Linked DNA regions of Oryzias latipes. The protein of the gene in region 2 purifies or fractionates together with the protein of the main gene of each other region. This does not show direct contact. Links are inferred from orthologs where the notes say so. Each region holds a gene or a part of one and is shown on either strand. Other genes may lie near its edges.

Region 1 (4,297 bases), on a different chromosome or scaffold from region 2:
CATTTATGCATTTGACCAATTGGATGGACCCTTTCCGATGTTGACCAATCAGATGAGCCGTTTCATGTTAGATGTTTGCCTCCTACATCAACGAGGGTCATTTGTTTTTTGTCATTTGTTTATATACCGCAAATTATATCGTTATCGCAATATTGATCACTAATATCGCACATCGCAAGTTTTGCTCATATCGTGCAGCCCTACTCTTCACTATGACCCTCCATGGACCCAGCCTACCCTGAAACCTACAGCACCCATGCGGGTCAACCCCTGTATGGGTGCTACGAGAACAAAGAGGAAGCTGGAACCGGGAAAATCTTCAAACCAAAGCCCGACATGAAGCAGCAGATCTGACAGATGCAAAAAAAAACAACAACAACAAACAACTGAGATGAAAAGAGACATTTATGGAAGATATAACAGCGTTTGCCAAGGACAAAAAACATACAATCCTCAATTGTGTTATTTATGAATAAAAACTGTCCTTTAGCGCTGTACAAACATCTACAGAGGAGCGACTCAGCTGTGAAAGCTGCGTTTGCCTCTGAAACTCTCTCGTGCTTCACTCCCGACTAAATTTAGCCAGTGACGGTGCGGATGGCGAGGAAAACCGGTCCTATGAGGAAGAGTGGAAAAGCTGAGAGTGGAACAGGAAGGAGATGCTGGAAAAGATGAAAACCACAGCAGAGTGTGAGCAGATGACTAAGAAACACTGCTGTCAGGCCTGGAACGCCACACACCGATTCCCAGGAGAGGAATGTGGCACCCAGAGGTGTCGCACAACCCCGTCAGATTGGATCGGCCCACACGGCCTCTCCGGATGGCCTAAATGGACCGCCAACCCGAACTGATGACAGCTATTCAAAGGCCATCAGATCAGTGCCACATCTGCATTAATTTGGTGTTTTAAAGTCTATTTAACACAAAAATAAAAATCCAAGGGTCCGGCTGGAGGGACTCAGGATGAGCAGAAAACACTCCACACAGAGGAAGGGGAGAAAAACACACACACACCTTTGATAAGCCATGAATAGCCTTGTTCCTCAGCTGCATTTCCCCTCTTCATTCACTGCCCATTTCCTCTGCGGACAATCGCCGCAAACACTGCCAGCCAAGAGCGCCGAGACGCCGTCGGTAAACAGAAACCTTTGCATCTGATTTTACAGGCACAAACCTATCATGCTGCTCACAGCAAGAACATACATGTGACCGAGAACACACAAGTACTACCGACAACGCACATACAACCAAGATCGCAGCTGCAATCAAGAATGCACGCATGAACGAGAACAACATATATATAAGAACGCATGTACAGCCAAGACCACATACACCAACACGAATGCACACATGAACAGGAATGCATAAGAACACATATACAGTCAAGACGACATCTACGAACAAGAACACATATACACCCAATACCGCTTCTAAGAACACAAGAACAAAAACAAACGGACGACCAACAACGCACATACAACCAAGATCACATACACCAGCAAGAACGCACATGTGAACAAGAACCCACGTATGAATGGGAACACACATAAAACCAAGACCACATACATGAACATTAACGTACGTATGAACAAGAACACACGTACGACCTGAAACACACATACAACCAAGAACACATCTACGAACAAGAATATAGGTACGACCTGGAACGCACAAAGTTCTAAAAACAATGCAAACATGTCAAATTGAAAAGAAAGATCTCCCTATTATCATACCTATTCACTTTCTGTGGTGGTAGTATTATGATCAGGTGATGCCCAACATTTTACCAAAACAAACAAAATTCTTTACAAAAAAACAACATTTTTAAAAATGTGAAGTTTTACAACATTAGCTAAATTTCGTCCTGCAATCGGATCAAATGTTGAATGTGGCTTTCTTTTGGTTAAGTGTAAAAAAACAGAAAGAGCCGAAGCAGATTCAGATGAGGGTGAAGGAATGCCACTGTGACGCTGAATTTGTGACCTAAAAGATCCAACATGATCCAGAACGAGAGAGTCTTCTCTGTGGGAGTCTGGACAGATAACAGAGGACTGTCTGACATATCAGTCATGCAGCAGAGCAGGCAGACACAGTCAGGGTTTGTCAAGCTGCTGCACTTGACACTCCCTGATACCACAACCAAAGCCAACAGCCTGCGTTAAGAAGACCACATAAACTTTTCTAAAATAAAAGCACATTTGTACAATGACTAACTCTGGAGCCAAGAAAAAAAAAACGGGAAGTAGTTTTTATTCGGCTAGCAGTTCTCCATTGAGAGGTCCCCGAAAACACAGTGAGGAAAAATGTAAATTAGTTAGCTTAATCAGCTAAGTGATCAAAAACGGCTCGAATACCTGTAGATAACTTCGTTAGAGTTTAAAAACAAAAATTAAATAAAAGTGTCAGTTTAAAAACATGAGTCCAATTAGTCAGTCGGAAGGTCCTGTAAAGGTTTAGGTGCCGGTTTGGAGGGATTTAATTAGCTAGCTTTGGTGTTTGCTAAAGTTAGCCGGATAGCTGTCCGATAATGGAAGCATGTACATTAAAGTTTTGGAGCTAGCCGAACTTCCCCCCGCATAGCGACACCGCGGGGTCGGTTCCCTTCCAGCGGCGGACGGCGAGGCGGTGACTCACCGGAGGGTCGGTCCGATGCAGTTCGTGTCTGTGCTCTCAATTTCCCGCAGAATCCGTTCGTGTTCGGCGGCTATCTCCACACTCGCCATCCTGCATGTTGATCCGGACAGTTCAGAGCTGCGCCGATCTGAGCCGAGCGCGAGGGCTGCGCGTCTTACGTCACACAGCAGGGAACTACAAAGTTCGCTCGATTTTGTTACGGAGTAGGCCAGGTGAGCGGCGATTTCCTTAGTTTTTGCCATTTTGTCCAATAAAACTTTTTACAAAGTCAGTATTCGTAACTAAGGACATATTTAACGTTTATTAATTTAATTTGACAACAAATAAGTGACTTCAAATAAGCAAACTGTAAAGGCGGTTAATTTCAATAATTGTTCCAGGTTATGTAATCAAACCAACACCTTCACTTAAACCTTTACAATTTTTAACTTATACATTTTCAACAGATGACAATGCAATTTTCAATTCAGCTATTGAATTGCCCCTAGACTTTCCTATAAATAGATATCTAAATAAAATTTGACATGACCTCACATTTATTAATACATAAAGTAAATGCATCAAAACGACATTTTTAAATGCCACCAAACGTTTTTAATAAATTTAAAGTGATGTCTACCTATGAACTACAAAATTATTTTGAAATACGGGAGATATTCATTTTACTAAATAATCTCTAATGTTTTACTTACAACACCTTATTTGTGTCTTCGGTTATTTAAGTAAAAAATCAGCCCATAGAAAAATCGAAATAGGGCTCATTTCCTTTAAAAAAATAATAGTAACTGGTTTTAAAGGACTTAATAGGTTTTAACATTTCTTTCAACTTTTATTCTTATAAGATTGATTTGGTTACAAACAGACCTAACATCCGGTTTTTCTGTTTTATTTTGTAATAAATTTACCTCACTTCCGGTTTAGCCGTAACCAGAGCTAACTTAGCGCATCGGCGTGTTGCTGTTGTGACGCTGGACGAGACAAACCAAAGTTTCAATGGAGGTACAACATGTGTTTTTTATTGATCTTCAAAAACTTCCAATCAGCTATGCGCCCATTTATTGATTATTTAAATTATAAAGTTGTATTAAAAGCCCTGTTAAGCTAGCAGTGCCGCGCGCCCACTTCAGGGTTCAGAGTCCGAGCAGTGATAACGAGGTCTAGCTAAGAGCCTTTTTCACGGGTTTTAGGGACATTTCACGTTATTTACCTAAACGGTATCATAAAATATCGTTTACAAAGATTAGTCTGATCTTTGCTATTGAGTAGAGATTAGCATTTAAGCCATTTTTGTCAAGAATTTTAAACTTTTCTTCTCCCAATAGACATAAGTGAATCTTCCGTCATTTTAGAAACAAATAACTCCACGTCAATCTTTGTGGGTTTTAGTGATTCCACAGATTATAAAGTCACTCTATATTAAACAGAATAAGGTGAAGTAGCATTATTGATCATAAATGTGTTCCCTGCCTCTTTTAGCCGCAGAAGAAGCTGATCAACTCAGTGGAGAGCTGTGTGGATGAAGCTCTCTGCGGCCTGGTCAGGGCCTCCGGGGGCCAGTCCCTGTTAAAGGGCCACAGGGTGGTGGTCCGCTCTGACCTCCAGAGCCTGAGGGGGAAGGTGGCCCTGGTGTCTGGAGGGGGGTCGGGGCACGAACCCGCACACG
Region 2 (4,205 bases):
CATAGAAATCATATACCATGTCTCTGACTTTAACATTACATCACCTGGCAGTAGTGGTGCTAAATAAACTCATCATCCTCTCCCTCCCTCTCACTCATGGTGCAGAAAGAATTAAATATAACAGTACAAATAACTAGACAATACACAGTAAAACAGCTAAACAACTAAACACATTTGGTCAAAAAACCACACTTAAACCCAAATCTGTACAGACAGGCAAAGGGAATGATATCCCACAATTCCTTGTGGTGCTGATCTAACAGCAGCACCAAAGTTACACCTACGTAACCCTTGTGCTATCCTAGGCACTTTAACATTGGGAGTTGGGTCATCTAGACCCACTAGACCAGGGGTGTCAAACTCATTTTCACCGAGGGCAACATCAGCATAGTGTCTGTCCTCAAAGGGCCAGATATAACTTATACATGCAACTAAATGTAATGAAAAATAAACGTAACTTCTCCTTAATGTCAAATCACTAATTTATTTATTTATTGTAACTTTTAAAGTGACAGTTACAGCTGCATAGAAAACACATGTTTGCGTGTTACTCTAGCATAAATCCTTTTAAATTTTTTCCTGTCAGGTTAGGTTATATTGACAGTGTTTAAGTCCTAATGTTTAGTTGCCCAATCCCATATTTCAAGTCCAATTCCCCCTAGATATGAATAAATACACACCAATTTTTATTTTAAGAAAATAAAAACTTTTATGCTCTCGCAGGCCACATAAAATGACATGGAGGGCCACATTTGGCCCGGGGGCCTTCAGTTTGAACACATGTGCACTAGACAGGGTTCCAGAGCAGCTGAATGCTCTGCCCCCCATGGTGACAAGGCGAGCAGTGGGGACATCCAGATGAAGGGAGGAGGAGGATCTGAGGGTACGGGTGGGAATGGAATACCCCCCCGGACTCTGACCTTAGGTCAACAAAAACATCAACACAAATAACCACAGACAAGAAGAAGGGGGCTCGTGTTTGCTAGGAGCTGGTGTGCTGCTTTTCTACCTGCCAAACTTGCTCCATCATATCTATCAGATCTTGTTCATGTGGCCATTCTCACCCGTACCCTCAGATCCTCCTCCTCCCTTCATCTGGATGTCCCCACTGCTCGCCTTGTCACTATGGGGGGCAGAGCATTCAGCTGCTCTGGAACCCTGTCTAGTGCACATGTGTTCAAACTGAAGGCCCCCGGGCCAAATGTGGCCCTCCATGTCAGCATTCAGCTGCTCTGCCCCCCGGCTCTGGAACTCTCTATCTCCGGACCTCAGAAACATTGGGTCTCTCTCACAATTCGCTAAAACACTGAAAACTCATCTTTTCCAACTCGCCTATCCCCCCCCCCCCCCCATAACTTCCTATTTCTGGCCTATTTATATGTATATTTTATTGTGCATTCGATTGCTGTTATTTTATTTTCACTTTTATGTACAGCGACCTTGGGTGTTCTTGAAAGGCGCCTAACAAATAAAATTTATTATTATTATTATTATTATTGTTATTATTAAATGGACACGCCATTCTGCTTCACCTCTCTGTAAACAAACTAACCTTCAACTAAACCTGCTCCAGAGACCTCTGAACATAACCTGGTCCGGAGCAGGTTTACTCATTATTATAACAATAAAAAGGACGGGGAAAAAATGCACGGCGTGCATAAATTGATTAAAAAAATTTCCGTCGTAGACGTTACAGTAATAACTGGTAGGGGTGCTATGTAAACTCATCATCTTCTCCGTTGCTCTCACTCATGGTGGAGAGACATAAGCTTAGTAGGACAAAATAACTCGGTAAAACACAGTAAAAAAGCTAAACAACTAAACACATTGGGTCAAAAAGCCACACTTAAACCCAAATCCGTCCAGACAGGCAAAGGGAATGATATCCCACAATCCCTTGCGGTGCCGATCTAACAGCAGCACCAAAGTTACACCTAATTAATTGAATTAATTTGAATGAAAGTAAAAATAACTGTCTGAAATCTACATGTTATTTTTAAGCTGACTTAACAAAAAAAGTATATATATTAATTAAATAATTAAGTTAGATCAACAATGTAAAAAAGTTTATTTTTCCAACATCCATACGTGGTCTCATCACCCTCTCATGGTGGAAAAAGTATTACTGAGCTTCTTCATCCACTAAATCATCTTCAAATGGACACGCCATGCTGCTTCACCTCTCTAAAAACAAACTAACCTTCAGGTAAACCTGCTCCAGACCAGGTTATGTTCAGAGCATGAGTTGCTATGGCAACTTCATATCCTGAAACATACCTCCATTTCTGGAACCGAAAGCTGAGGTTATCAACTTCCTTAGCCTCAAACTTACCGTGGTAACTCACATAACCAACCTGCTTTCTGGAATACCCCCCCGGACCCTGACCTTAGGTCAACAAAAACAACATCACAAATAACCACAGACAAGAAGGGGGCTCGTGTTTGCTAGGAGCTGGTGTGCTGCTTTTCTACCTGCCAAAATTGTTGCCAATTCCCTGACTCAGGTGAATTTCAACATTCGTGGTGGGAACTTCTGTTTGCTTAGATGTCTCTTCAGCAGCTGAGTGCTGCTGTGTTCGCGGCTCCGGGGTTGCAGCTAAGCTAACCGGGGCCGACAGCGGCCCCCACCGCCTGGCTCCCGCCAACAGGCCCACACACACGCCCCGCGCCGTCTTACCTCATACAGTCACGGAATCAACTGGAACTCTGGGTGCAAATCTAGGAAAAATAAAACAAATAAAGTCCGTTTAAACGTCCTTGCTATTGTGTGACGTCACTTCCGTATTTGCCTCCGAGAACCGCCTACTTTTTCTTCTTCGTCTCTTCTTTGCCGTATTTCGCGGGGTAACTGCGTCAGCACCGCCACCTGCTGGACATTCAGCATTAATGCACATACTCTGGAAGGATTTCATGTGACCATTTTACCAGTGGCGGTTCTACACTGACTTACTCCCCGGGCGAGTAACCCCCCCTCCCCCGCATACACAAATTTCACGATATCCTTCTGTCTCTATCTTTATCTACCTTTATTTAACATTTTACACAAAATGCCTGAATTTTATAATTAGTATTAAAGGGGTATCAAACTCAGTCACACAGGGGGCCTAAATTAAAAACACGCTTTAGGTTTTGGGTCAAACAAGATAAACATTTACTGAACACACTAAAGCTAAACTTTTAAACTTTTTAAACTTAACTTTTTGAACATAAATATGAATAAAACAGACAGGAATATTAATACAGAATAAATCAAGTTAAACCTAAAATGACGTATAATATTTTGCCCTCCAAAAAAATATATTCTGTCAAAATTATACAGTTATGAACATGCCGCAGAACAAAACAAACAAAGTCTGGAAACTTTAATGATAAATCAAATCATGCCGTTTTCTCTGCTCTTTTGTCGTTTTTTTTAGCGCTGGACTCCTGGCATCAAGGCCTGTTCACACCGGGACGAATTTCGCCGGCGATTTTCGCCGACGTTTAACCCCTCGTGACTAAACAAAGGGCACCAACGAGAGTGTGCACACCGATGTGAAAAAATGCCACGCGTTAAAGCGTCAAAAAAAAAACGCCTCGGGTTCGTTTTTTTTTTTCGACGCGTCGCGTCGAAATCTACTCGACCAATGAGAATGGCGCTTTTGCTCACGTGTCTGAAGTTAGAGTAAAACACAACTTGGGGGCGCTCAAACACAAAACTGCCTTGCTGAGCACACATACCAGCGAAGAAGATAGACGCCAAGTAGCGTCTACACTGCCGCGAAGAAATAATGACGGACATTCTAAAACATCCCCGAACCAAGCACCAGTTGGAGCTACTGGTGCTTGAAATATTCATGTTTTCTTTGTTTGATTCTGACAAGCGTGTAAATACTTGCTCTCTTCTTCTGAGTGAAAAGCGACTTTAAGAAGCGTAAAGCTGCGCAGCGCCACCTTGTGTACAGGAGTATTTCTGTTTACATTAAGCGCCATCTAATGTCAGGGAATGAAATTGCATGTTCACTCCACTCATCGTCATCGAAAATCGCCTGGGTGTGAACACAAAAAACGTGGCGAAAAACGCTGGCGAATAACGCCTGGCGAATATTCGTCCCGGTGTGTACGGGCCTTCATTTTTATCAATCAGCTAATTTCTTGGTGTGTGATGTCCTGTGTTGTGTCTTTGTGAAACAGATTAGAGGGATTAGTGTTTTTTTTTTTTTTTA

Evidence for each region. Proteins that work in one complex are often made in the same cells at the same time.
Region 1: the proteins of exoc3 (region 2) and exocyst complex component 6B purify together in Homo sapiens (affinity purification with mass spectrometry; 3 studies listed by BioGRID and IntAct, counting the BioPlex papers as one, with this or other methods). This does not show direct contact. The link is inferred for Oryzias latipes from reciprocal best matches to the Homo sapiens genes EXOC3 and EXOC6B.

What each region holds. Positions count from the first base shown.
Region 1 is NC_019876.2:5,494,215-5,498,511, forward strand, and holds the start of exocyst complex component 6B, read right to left. Parts: upstream 2,803-4,297; 5' UTR 2,724-2,802; coding exon 2,635-2,723; intron 1-2,634. Other genes in the region: tkfc (triokinase/FMN cyclase), read left to right, coding at 3,628-3,633, 4,111-4,297. UniProt on the Homo sapiens protein: Component of the exocyst complex involved in the docking of exocytic vesicles with fusion sites on the plasma membrane.
Region 2 is NC_019875.2:4,994,538-4,998,742, reverse strand, and holds the start of exoc3 (exocyst complex component 3), read right to left. Parts: upstream 2,810-4,205; 5' UTR 2,678-2,809; intron 1-2,677. UniProt on the Homo sapiens protein: Component of the exocyst complex involved in the docking of exocytic vesicles with fusion sites on the plasma membrane.